Linked DNA regions of Macaca mulatta. The protein of the gene in region 1 purifies or fractionates together with the protein of each later gene. This does not show direct contact. Links are inferred from orthologs where the notes say so. Each region holds a gene or a part of one and is shown in the gene's direction. Other genes may lie near its edges. The genes, in order: POLR2B and MED26.

Region 1 (6,595 bases):
GGTATGACCAGAGTGGGGAGAGAATTTGTAAAGGGAAGGGTACCGGCAGCCCGTAGTGGACATTAAGGGAGGATGTAGTCGGTGCCTCAGCTAGGACCAGACGTCCACCTTGTCAGAAAACGAAGAGGGAGAGAGCCTCCTAAAACTCACCTGGCCAAGGGGAGATGGTGGCTCTGTCGATGGCCTCGGAGCCCTTGGCGGTGCAGTAATCGGACTCCAGGAGCGTGTTAAAGAGAGTGGATTTGCCGGCGTTGGTGGCGCCCACTAAGTAGACGTCCCCACGGTAGCGCCAGGAGCGCTGAAGGGCAGAGATCAACTCTTCCACTCCATAGCCGGTCTTGGCGCTGATCAGTCGCACGTCTCTGACCACCGTGCGGGACCAGTTCGGCGGATTCGAATTCTCCCCGTCCTGTGGCTCGTTCTTGACGGGGATCTGTGGCCCTTGGTGGCCAGGGGCCAGCAGGAGCCCGGCCCGGGCACAGTCGTCCCACAGTCGCTCCCGCAGCCTCTGCCGGTAGCCAGGAGCATCCTGGGGCAGGAGGTCCACTTTGTTTCCCAGCACGATCAGCTGCTTGGGGCCCACCAGCGCGGGCAAGTCGGGCAGCAGGGCGTCGGGCAGGTCGAGCAGGTCCACCATGTAGAGAACCAGGGAAGGCCCGGGCCGCCGCAACGCGGAGCTCACCAGCTCCAGGTACTGCTCGCGGCTCACCTGCAGGCGTAGAGCGCGCCGGTGGTGCACCAGCAGCCAGCATCGCTGGCACACGGTCCGCGCCAGCCCGCCGTCTGCCTCCGCCATGCGGAGGAACTTGTCGCAGGGCAGGTAGCCGGGCACGCCGGAATCCTGGCAGTGCAGCTCTGCCCCGCAGCCCGAGCAGTTCACGCCGCTGGGCGGCACTGCCGCGTCCGGGTGCCCCACGACCGGGTGCTCCCGGGGCCTGGTCCGTAGGTTTTGCTGTCGCCGCTCCTCCCGCCGCTGCTGCCTCTGTCGCTCCTCCTCCTCCTGCTGTTGCTGGAGCTCCTGCAGCTGCTCTTCGCGGGTGGGCTCCAGCTCCGGCTCCGGGATGTACTCCGGGAACAGAAAACGCTCCTGCATGTCAGCACCTTCTCCAAAGCCCTCCGTGTCCACGGGGTCATAAGGAAGCTCGCGTCCCAGACTCGATGAGTGCTGGAAGGAGGAGGCGGCAGCGCGCCTCCTCCCCAAGAGCGGCTCCCGGAGGCCATGGCGCGCTGCCGTGGGAGCGAATCCACGAAAGAAAAGGCTCAGCAGCCTGAACTGCAGGCGAGCGGGCAGCATGAGGAAGTAGCTCCAGGCAAAGGGGCGGAGTCACAAGCGCGCACGCGTACTAGGGCCCGAGGCGACGCGCGTGTTAGAACCGAGACGAAAGCGAGTGGGTACCTGGGAGCTGTCCTGGTTAGTTTTGCGTCTAATCTCGTGAGTTCTCGCGATTTAAGCGCCGAGACTGAGAACCTACTTAAAGCTATAGTAAAGGCATTGGAGGCACTGGAGGATTGAGCTAGATGGGCAGAAGAGAGCGATGAGCGTTTTGAGTTTTTTCACTTTCAGGCTTAACGCCTCACTGCTAGCCCAAGCCGCCCGTAATAAATCACATTTAAAAAGGAGCTTCCGGGCCGGGCGCGGTGGCTCACGCCTGTGATCCCAGCACTTTGGGAGGCCGAGGCGGGCGGATCATGAGGTTAGGAGATCGAAACCATCCTGGCTAAGACGGCGAAACCCTGTCTCTACTAAAAATACAAAAAATAAACCGGGCGTGGTGGCGGGCGCCTGTAGTCCCAGCTACTCAGGAGGCTGAGGCAGGAGAATGGCGTGAACCCGGGAGGCGGAGCTTGCAGTGAGCCGAGGTCGCGCCACTGCACTCAAGCTTGGGCGACAGAGCGAAACTCCGTCTCAAACAAAACAAAACAAAACAAAACAAAACGGAGCTTCTGGCCGGGCGCGTGGCTGGAACGGTAGGCGAGCGGGCAGCTCGCCTCTAATCCCAGCACCTTGGGAGGCCGAGGCGGGCGGATCACCTGAGATCGAGACCAGCCTGGCAAACGTGGTGAAACCCCGTCTCTACTAAAAATACAAAAATTAGCCGGGCGTGGTGGCGCGCGCCTGTAATCCCAGCTATTTGGGAGGCCGAGGCAGGAGAATCGCTTGAACCCGGGAGACGGAGGTTGCAGTGAGCCGAGATCGCTCCACTGCACTCCAGCCTGGGCAACAGAACGAGACTCCATTTCAAAAAATAATAAACAAATAAAAATAAAAATTGCTTCGTGTTTTGGTCTTTATAAAGGCAAATCAATTGAGCATCCCAATGTCGCGGATTCACAGAACGAGCACTTTTTATTAATAAGTATACTTGGCTTTGTTTTCAGGTGTCGTTATTTGTGCAACGACATTGAAAAACAAGCAGAAATAAAACATTAACGGGACGGATGCGACAGCAGATTGCGGGAGCTGTCCTCTCAATCAGCCACCGGCAGCGGCGGCCCACAATTTGCGCGTGTGCAACCCAACTCCCGCCCAAGCTTGCCCTACAATTTGCGCAGGCGCAGATCCTAACTTTGGCGTCCCTGTGGGCGGCCTCTTGTGTGAGACGCACAGTATTCTGGGAACGTCGGAGACGGAAGTTACTTGGTCTTTAGCTCCCGACGCTGGTGGCTTCTGCGCGCTTTTTGTCTTTGATTTCGAGTTAGGAGCTCGGGAACCGTTTGGCAATATGTACGACGCGGATGAGGGTAGGTGAAACACATGCCACGGCGGTCCAGCAGGGAAGCTTGGGGAACTGATTGGATTGATGATTGGGGCCTTCCCTCCCGCCGGCCGGACAGTCCCTAGCCTTGTTCCCACACCTTTCAGGCCGGGAACGAAACTGGGGTAGGGAGAGGCAGAGGGTGCAGGGAACACAGCGTTAATGTTCCCGGTTAGGTTCACTGCTGCTCTGCACTTTCTCGTTCCCTTAGATCTGATCCTCGCTTCCTGTAGTGAAGTAGCGTGCAGAACCGTAAGATAAATTCCGTGGTTTTGAATTTGAAGCAAAGAGCACCCTTTAAAATTTTTCCTTAAAGCCACAGTCGACTTACTGAATAGCTGAAGTGTTGAGTGTCAGCCTGTGTCAGGCAGTGTGGAAGGCCCTGGAAATATATCGGGACAGAGAATATCGGGGGGGAGGGTGGGAGGACTCGGTTTAGTCTGACATTTCTTCATGCTGTTTGTAAGTCAAAGTAAATTGTCTTAAAGGATGGCGTTTAAATTTCCTCTTCTCACAGTGTCACAGTTCTCACAATGTCACAGTTCTCAGATGATATGTATTCTGCTACACTGGACCAATGTATAATATCTGTTTCTTTGCGCATATGGAATTCTTAGTAGTGGCCGAGCGCGATGGCTCCCACCAGCACTTTGGGAGGCCGAGACGTGCAGATCGTTTGAGGCCAGCCTGACCAACATGGGGGAAATCCCGCATCTACTAAAAATACAAAAATTAGCCGAGTGTGATGGCGCGCGCCTGTAATCCCAGTTATTCGGGAGGCTGAGGCCACATCGCTTGAGCCCAGGAGGCAGAGGTTGCAGTGAGCTGAGATTGCGCCTCTGCACCACAGCCTGAATGACAGAGTAAGACTCTTGTCTTGAAAAAAAAAAAAAAAAAAAAAAAAAAAACAGAATTCTTAGTTGAATCTAGTGTATTTTCATAGCTGCCTTTTCTATTCTCCATATCTACTAATGCAAATCTTATTTTCTTCTAGCTCTCAATTCCTTGGCCACCCCTTACATCTCCTCTCTTTATTCCCTCAGCTACTTCTGATAAATGAGATGGAAAAAATTGAAGCAAAAGCTTAAACTTTTTAAAAAATTTTTTTTGAGAGATAGGGTCTGGCCATGTTGCTCAGGCTGTTCTCAAACTCCTGAGCTCAAGCCATCTGCCTGTCTCAACCTCCCAAAGTGCTGGGATTACAGGCGTAAGCCACTGTGCCCAGCCAAAAACTTAAACTTTTAAAGCTGTTTAAACTTCTGTCTCATTTATATCTTGTGTTCTAGAAATTTATTAGCATCATTATAGTACTTGTTCTTTTTAACTGTTATCTCAGTAGAAGAAAAATTCGAAAAAAAGATTTTTTAAAGCATAATTTTTGGCTAGGTAATACATTCTCAGCTCACAAGCCAGAAAGTTTAAAAACGTTAAAGTGGGGTGGCTGGTACAGTGTCTCACGCATGTTATCCCTGCATTTTGGGAGCTTGAGGTGGGTGGATCGCTTGAGCTCAGCAGTTCAAGACCAGCCTGGGCAACAGGGGAGACCCCCTCTCTATAAGAAATGGAAACATTAGCTGGGTGTGGTGGTGCTCACCTATAGTCCCAGCTACTTGGGGAGCTGAGGCAGGAGGATCGCTTGAGCCTTGGAAGTTGACACTGCTGTGAGCCAAGAACAAAGTGAGACCCTGTCTCAAAAAAAAAAAAAATTAAAGTGTCAGGTCTCCTTCTTACCCACCATCTGCCCAGTTTGAACTCTCCACAGTGGGTAACTACTGTTACAATAGATTTTAATCACTCCGCAGTTTCTTTTTTTTTTTTTTTTTTTTTGACAGTCTTGCTCTGTTGCCCAGGCTTGAGTGCAGTGGTGCAATCTTGGCTCACTGTAACCTCCGTCTCCCAGGTTCAAGCAGTTCTCCTGCCTCAGCCTCCCTAGTAGCTGGGATTACAGGCGTGCACCAACATGCCCAGCTAATATTAGTATTTTTAGTAGAGACAGGGTTTCTCCACGTTGGCCAGGCTGATCTCAAGCTCCTGACCTCAGGTGATTCACCTGCCTCAGCCTCCCAAAGTGCTGGGACTGCAGGTGTGAGCTACTGCGCCCAGCCTCCACAGTTTCTTTATGCATATTTGAGCAAATATAAATGGGATTTTTCTCCTTTTTTAAAGACAGAAAGTAATATTCACACTTTTCTCCACTTTTAGATTTTGCTTAATGTATCTAGATTTTTGTATCAGTACACAGAAAGCATCGCCCCCGCCCCTTCGCCCACTCCGCCAGTTACTTAGTTTGTGTGGATGTACCATAACTTAAGTAGTCTCTTGATGGATATTTGATTTATTTCTAGTCATTTTCGGGTTCAGTGCTGTAAATGAATAATCTTGTACATATAATTTGCCCAAGTATGTCTGTGGGATGCATTTCTACATATAAAATTGTCACGTCAAATGATACACACCTTTAACATTTTGCTAGATGATGCCAAGTGACCACCATAGTGGTGATTTGTACTAGTTTTGCAATGTATAATGATCCCGTGCAAAAAAGAGTTTATCATAGTTGCTTTAGCAGTGAGCCTACATTTTATTCTTGCCCATGTCCTCTGAAATGTTTATTAGATAATGTCCTCATCAGTTTTCAGCCACTATGTGAAAATGTCAGATTTCTGTCATCCACATGGAAACAAGTTAAACTTTTCATTTTTTCCTTTTTCTTCTAGTATTTTACCTTTCTCCTTTCATTCACAGCCAAACATAAAAATAATAAGCTGTCCTTGTTTCTAATTTTCATCTTTCATGTCCTTTTCAACTGATTACAATATGTTTCTACTCATGCTACTGCATTAAGATAGCTCTAAGATTGACAGTGACTTCTCAATTGATAAATGAGATGGATATTTAAAAAATCTTATCTAAACCCTGTGGTCTTCAAAACTGTTGATGACATCTTCCTGGAAACTCACTCAGCTTTCTAGCCACATCACTTCCACTTGATTCTTCTTATCTGACTTTTGTTCTCATTTTCTTTCCTGTTCACATTCTCTTTGGGTGATCTCATCCATTTTACATTGTTTAGTTACCATTTGTATGTGGATGACTTCTGAATGTATACTTCTAGTTTAAAAGCCCTGGTATCTAACTGCCACTGGCCAACTAGGATATCTCCCAGGCTACTTCACCTTGTCACTGCCCAAACTGAGCTAATTATTTTCTTTTGCTATTCCCCTCCCAAAGTCACTGCCTCCTGTGTTCTCTGTCTTGGTGAAGGGCACTGTTGGCCCTCTGTATCTGTAGGTTTCACATCTGTATATTCAATTAATCTTGGATTGAAAATATTAAAAAGCTTGAGGCCAGGAGTTTGAGACCAGCCTGGGCAACATAGGGAGACCTCATCTCTACAAAAAAATTTAAAAATTAGCTGGGCATGGTGGCGTGTACCTGTGATCCCAGCTACTTGGGATACTGAGGTGGGAGGATTGCTTGAGCCCTAAGAGTTTGAGGCTACAGTGAGCTGTGATCACACCACTGCACTTCAGCCTGGGTAACAGTAAGGCCCTGTCTCAACAAAAAAGAGAATATTAGAAAAAAATTGTGCCCTTGTAAAAATGTACAGACTTTTTTTCTTGTCATTATTCCATAAACATTACAAGTAAACAATTCTTTACATAGCATTTACATTGTATTAGGTATTATAAGTAATCTAGAGGTAATTTAAAGGATACAGGAGGATGTGCCTAGGGTATATAACAGTGCCATTTCATGTCAGGGACTTAAGCATCTGTGTTTTGGTATCTATGGGAGGTCCTGAAACCAGTCTCCAATGGACACTGAGGTACAACTGT
Region 2 (6,438 bases), on another chromosome or scaffold:
AGAGCTGAACTCAGCCAGACGCCGTGGCTCACGCCTGTAATCCCAGCACTTTGGGAGGCCGAGGAGGGTGGACCACCTGAGGTCAGGAGTTCCAGACCAGCCTTCAACATGGTGAAAGCCCCATCCCTACTAAAAAAATACAAAAATTAGCTGGGCGTGGTAGCGGGTGCCTATAATCCCAGCTATTCGGGAGGCTGAGGCAGGAGAATTGCTTGAACCCAGGAGGCGGAGGTTGCAGTGAGCTGAGATCATGCCATTGCACTCCAGCCTGGGCGACAAGAGGAAAACTTCGTCTCAAAAAAATAAGTAAGAGCTGAACTCTGCTAACACCTGAAGGAGCAGGAAATGGATCCTCCAGAGAGGATCCCAGCCCAGTGAGACCGAGACCTGACTTCTGAGCCCTAGAGCCTGAGATGATAAATGTGTGCTGTGTAAGATGCTGAGTTTACAATCACGTGTTATGGAAACTCATGCCACGCAGTCTTGGCAAGGATGTGGCCTGGTGGGAATGGAATGGAGCAGCCTCCCTGGGGGCGAGGTGACCACCCTGCATGGATGTGAAGCCCCGGCTCACCCGCGGCTGTCTGTGCATTAGCCCAGAGTCAAGTCTGTCACTGCCGTCAGTTGCAGCCTTGTTTTGTAATGGCGAACAGAAAGTGCCTAAGTGTCCCACAACATTCAAGTCGGGCCTTCCCCACTCTGGAAGGGATGGTGAGCCAAATGAGGGGCTCTGTTTGAGGCTGGACATTGCTGATGTTAAGTCAGAAAAGGCAAGAACCACGGTCAGTTTGGTTTTGAAATATGTGACAAGTGTAGATGTATACGCCTGCATACACAAGGGATATTTTTGGAAAAAAATGCAAGGTAATGCTACAGTGGCTGGGTCAGAGATGCCCATTTCCTTGTGTGCCCTTTTACGCTGTTTTAATTTGTATCATGTGCCTGCTTAACTCCTTTATCATGTTGGGGTGGGGGTGGGGGGGAGTTGTGTAATCTACTCACTGTGGTTTCCTCAGGGCCCCTGGGTTCCCGCCTGCCAGCCAGCCCACCAGAAACCTGTAGCTGCTGGAGGTGGCGGTTGAGCGGTAGGAATTCTTGTTGTAACAATTAAAGGAGTTAGTAATGTGTGGGAAGTGCTTAGAACAAGGTGTGGCTCCTAGCAAGATCCTAAAAGGGTGGGATTACTCGGTCATAGGATGTGTTCATGTTTCACTCTGCCAGACAAAGTCCAGCCGTTCCCAAAGTCGGCTGTACCCCCAGAAGTACCTAGTATTGTCAGTGGGGTGCGTGTATCATATATCCATTTGTGGGTTCAGTTTGAGTTTTCCTAATTATTGATAAAGCTGAGAAGCTGAGCATTAGCGCTGACATTTCATTGCACAGTGCCTGTTCCTGTCTTGTAGCCACTGTGCGCTGGGTTCCTGGTCAGCTGCACTGCTGCACAGGCATTCTCTGTGTGTTCCAGATACAGCTCCTTGGGGCTTGTGGTCTATGCCTTCTCCCACTTTGTGACTTTCTGCTCTCTTTATGGTGTCTTTGGATTCAAATCGACTGGTTTATTATGTATTGAATTTTTTTTTTTTTTAACGGAGTCTCGCTCTGTCACCCAGGCTGGAGTGCAGTGGCGTGGTCTTGGCTCACTGCAACCTCTGCCTCCCGGGTTCAAGCAGTTCTCATGCCTCAGCCTCCCGAGTAGCTGGGACTACAGGCGCATGCCAGCACACCCAGCTAATTTTTTTATTTTTAGTACAGATGGGGTTTCACTGTGTTCGCCAGGCTGGTCTCAAAACTCCTGATCTCGTGATCCGCCCTCATCGGCCTCCCAAAGTGCTGGGATTACAGGCGTGAGCCACCCGCGCCCAGCCTATGTATTGATCTTTTAAGCTTTGTGGATTTTATTCGATGAATTCTTCAGTGTCTCCTCTCCCACTCCCATCAGATGGCAGAGTAGAGGTCATTTTAAGTATCAGGAGCAGCTCTTGTTTCACAAGCATCCTGGGTTTCAGCAGGTGGGTGGATATGTACCATGTACACTGGAGGGTTTGGAGCAGACCGCACACCACACACTGGAGGAGGTCGGACAGCGGGTGAGGATGAGCACTGGGCGCCAGGTTGGCCTGGGGAGCAGGTAGGAGACTACATGGAGTGGGGGCTTCAGTGCTGCCAGCTCCTCTTGCTCTGGGGTTGGGGAGAGACTGGAGCAGGCTGGGGTAGGGTGTCCCTGCCTCCCAGGGGAGAAGGGCAGGAACCTGACAAATGGCTTTTTCTTTATTTCCACAGATCCGGAACATGGTGGCGGTGCTGGAAGTCATCTCCAGCCTGGAGAAATACCCCATTACCAAAGAGGCACTTGAGGTGAGTATCCCAGACCCCAGCATTTGGGAGTGCAGAATGGGGGACAGGGGACGGCACCAACCCAGTTCCTTCCCCAGCTTCTAGGAGCGTGTGTCTTTGCTTCAGAGGACCAAGAGAGGCGGTGTGCCCTCACAGCTTGTGCCCCGTGATCTTGCTCTCCTGTGGCCACTGCAGTGACCAAGTGGCATTAATCCCATCCTACCTGCCCAGCACACTTCATGGGCACGTGGGCACGTGGGGACATGGGGACATCAGGAGAGGTGTGCTTGGGGGAGGCTCCAATGAGAGGCGCCGTCCCCAACCCTCCACTTGAAGCAGACCCTCTGTGCTGCCGCCTTGGCCACAGCACCCTCTCATCCAGAAAGCCTCCCTGGCAGTGTCCTTACAGTGGCCTTGACAGCCCCCTGGCACCAGGAGCCTGCGGGACAGCACTGCTGAGAAGCCACCTGGGACTCTGAAGGTCTGGGGACTAGGTTTGAGAATTTATATTGTCACAAAGGACCGGAAATCCCCAGGAGTTTTGTGCCAGGGAGGCTGGCAGTTTAGGGCTCAGTGGGAACCAGGTCATTTCATTGTCAGGGCCATTTCCCACCATTTCTGGCTCAGCTCATGGGGAAGTCCCTGTCCCGAAAGTATGTCATCATCTCTCTTTCTGGTTGTAGGAAACACGACTTGGGAAGCTCATCAACGACGTCCGCAAGAAAACCAAGAACGAGGAGCTCGCCAAGCGGGCCAAGAAGCTGCTGCGGAGCTGGCAGAAGCTCATCGAGCCAGCGCACCAGCATGAGGCAGCGCTGCGGGGGCTGGCGGGGGCCACTGGCTCTGCCAACGGGGGTGCACACAACTGCCGGCCGGAGGTGGGGGCGGCTGGCCCGCCCAGGAGCATCCATGACCTGAAGAGCCGCAATGACCTCCAGAGGCTGCCCGGGCAGCGGCTGGACAGGCTGGGCAGCCGCAAGCGCAGGGGTGACCAGCGTGACCTCGGCCACCCAGGGCCACCACCTAAGGTCTCCAAAGCTAGCCACGACCCCCTGGTCCCCAACTCATCCCCCCTCCCTACCAATGGCATCAGTGGGAGTCCAGAGAGCTTCCCTGGCTCCCTGGATGGCAGTGGGCATGCAGGCCCAGAGGGCGGCCGCCTGGAGCGTGGCGAGAACGACAAGCACAGTGGCAAGATCCCCATCAACGCTGTGCGGCCGCACACCAGCTCCCCAGGCCTGGGCAAGCCCCCTGGACCCTGCTTGCAGCCAAAGGCTTCGGTGCTGCAGCAGTTGGACAGGGTGGATGAGACTCCGGGGCCTCCCCACCCCAAGGGGCCCCCTCGCTGCTCTTTCAGTCCTCGGAACTCACGGCATGAGGGCTCCTTTGCCCGGCAGCAGAGCTTGTATGCACCCAAGGGCTCCGTGCCCAGCCCCTCACCGCGGCCCCAGGCGCTCGATGCCACACAGGTGCCGTCACCGCTTCCACTGGCACAGCCGTCCACACCCCCTGTACGGCGGCTTGAGCTGCTGCCCAGTGCGGAAAGCCCAGTGCGCTGGCTTGAGCAGCCGGAAAGCCACCAGCGGCTGGCGGGGCCGGGCTGCAAGGCAGGGCTGTCCCCAGCCGAGCCCCTCCTGTCCCGGGCGGGCTTCTCCCCAGACTCCTCCAAGGCGGACAGTGACGCTGCCTCCTCAGGGGGCTCGGACAGTAAAAAGAAGAAGAGGTACCGGCCTCGAGATTACACGGTTAACTTGGACGGGCAGGTGGCTGAGGCGGGCGTCAAGCCTGTCCGGTTAAAAGAGCGGAAGCTCACCTTTGACCCCATGACAAGACAGATCAAACCTCTGACCCAGAAAGAGCCAGTGCGGGCAGACAGCCCTGTGCACATGGAGCAGCAGTCCAGGACAGAGCTGGACAAGCAGGAGGCCAAGGCCAGCCTCCAGAGCCCCTTTGAACAGACGAACTGGAAGGAGCTGTCACGCAACGAGATCATCCAGTCCTACCTGAGCCGGCAGAGCAGCCTGCTCTCATCGTCGGGCGCGCAGACCCCGGGGGCTCACCACTTCATGTCTGAGTACCTGAAGCAGGAGGAGAGCACCCGGCAAGGGGCCAGGCAGCTGCACGTGCTGGTGCCTCAAAGCCCGCCCACAGACCTCCCCGGGCTGACCCGGGATATCACACAGGACGATCTCGACAGAATCCAGGCCAGCCAGTGGCCGGGGGTGAACGGGTGTCAGGACACACAGGGTAACTGGTATGACTGGACGCAGTGCATATCACTTGATCCGCACGGCGATGACGGGCGCTTGAACATTCTGCCTTATGTCTGTTTGGACTGACCGGCCCGTCAGCCACGAAGTGCATTCCCATCTTGCAGAAGCCGGGCGGGCGGGCAGGCAGGTGGGTGGGTGGCCGGGGCCCAGCTGCCTCCTGCACTGGGAACTCGGGGAGTCCGGCCCGGGCAGGAGGGAGGGGGCGGGAGTCACGCGGTCTCTCTGCACTCTTCCCTCAAAACTCTCCTTTTGTGAAATGCTGCTACCAGTTTACTAACAAAATTGCGAAGGAAGGACCGCGTGGAAGGAAGGACGGCAAAGTGAGTTCAGAACTCTATAGCAAACCAGCTATAAAAAGCGTTAGTCCCTCACCCCTGAAGAGGTGCGGACACTTTCCAGCACCTGAAAGCTGGGACCTCAGTTGCAGGCAGGCACAGAAAACCTGTGGAGAGGTTACCTTTAACACAGCAACAGAAGCACGCATCTCATCTCTCTTGCATTTTCTGTTCTTTAATTTGGCCCTGAGTGTCTGTGAGACAGTGGGCCATGCTGCCTCTGTTTGCTCCCTACCCAGCCACTGTCAGGTCAGTGTTGTCCGTCATGTGCCAGAAGCTTCTCAGCTGTGGTGAGCCACTGGCATCGGGCAGGCGGGCCAGCTGGCCAGCCAGGGTGACCCACACTCCATGGGCAGCCACCTGTTTATATCTGGTTTCAGTTATAACCCCGTTTTTAAAGAAATGCTGCAAAAATTTAAGTTTTTTCATGTTTATTTTAACAACTCCTTCCATCAGACCACCAGACAAAAAAAAAACCTTTCCTTTCTTCCTCCCTTTCTTTTTTCCCTTCCTGTACACATCTAGAAAACTTCACCTTTCTAGAGTCCTCCCAAAACAACACAAAAGTGACTGTGGGTGCTACTGGTTTTATGCTGTACTGTGGGGCGAGGGGGAGACCTGTCTGTACGCTGGAAACACTCATAACCATTCCTTTAGATTCGTTTGCCTTATGGTTATTTGTCATAAACGCGATTTGCAAAAACAAGGAGCCTTAGTGAATGTACAGTACCTAGACTTCTGTGTTCTCAGGACGCAGAAGGGAGCAACTTTGCTATTTGGTCCAGTAAGTGGACACCTTGTGATATAAATGTGGAAATAAAAAAAAAAAAAACCATTTGCACAAACCAGTCTGAGAATCTTTTCTCATTTGGACCTTCACAGCCAAATCAGCCCTTTCCTGGATTGTAGATTAGCCAGAAAAACCTAGACCCCAACAGCCGCAATGCAGGGAGACAGGACAGGGCACTGTGCTTTGAAGTCCACCTGCTAGCCTGCTGCTGCATTTGGGAGGACCTTCACATTTTATTCATTCAGGGCCACATTAAGGAACGTTATCTTGTCTCACCCAGACTTTACCTGGCCTAGAGAGCAGCCCTCCGTAGGAGGCTCCATAGCATAGGTCTCAGTGACTACCCCCACCTTAACAAAATACCAGAGACTTAGAGCTGTGTGTGTGTGTGTGTGTGTGTGTGGCAGCCCACCCTGTGGCCCTGGCCCCCGGCTGCCTTACTAGCTGGTGGTTGCTGACTCCAAAAAAAATAGTTCTCCCTTGACTATAAAGTGATCATCTTTTAAGTTCCCCCTCTTCCCTGAAACTGTAGGCTAAGACTTTGGTTTTCTAGTTTTTCACTTTGGAATAGGTCATCTTATCCGTATCTGCTTAATTTCACAAATGAAGAAACAGCTACACCTTAAGACATGCAATCTCACAGAGCAAACCAAGGGTTCCTTCCAGCCTGTAAGACTACAGTCAGTCCAGAGCCAGTTTCAGAGCT

Evidence for each region.
Region 2: the proteins of POLR2B (region 1) and MED26 purify together in Homo sapiens (affinity purification with mass spectrometry; 3 studies listed by BioGRID and IntAct, with this or other methods). This does not show direct contact. The link is inferred for Macaca mulatta from reciprocal best matches to the Homo sapiens genes POLR2B and MED26.

What each region holds. Positions count from the first base shown.
Region 1 is NC_133410.1:76,508,806-76,515,400, reverse strand, and holds the start of POLR2B (DNA-directed RNA polymerase II subunit RPB2), read left to right. Parts: upstream 1-2,673; 5' UTR 2,674-2,723; coding exon 2,724-2,742; intron 2,743-6,595. UniProt on the Homo sapiens protein: Catalytic core component of RNA polymerase II (Pol II), a DNA-dependent RNA polymerase which synthesizes mRNA precursors and many functional non-coding RNAs using the four ribonucleoside triphosphates as substrates.
Region 2 is NC_133424.1:17,071,168-17,077,605, reverse strand, and holds MED26 (mediator of RNA polymerase II transcription subunit 26), read left to right. Parts: upstream 1-1,944; 5' UTR 1,945-2,026; coding exon 2,027-2,128; intron 2,129-2,280; coding exon 2,281-2,355; intron 2,356-3,017; coding exon 3,018-4,673; 3' UTR 4,674-5,787; downstream 5,788-6,438. UniProt on the Homo sapiens protein: Component of the Mediator complex, a coactivator involved in the regulated transcription of nearly all RNA polymerase II-dependent genes.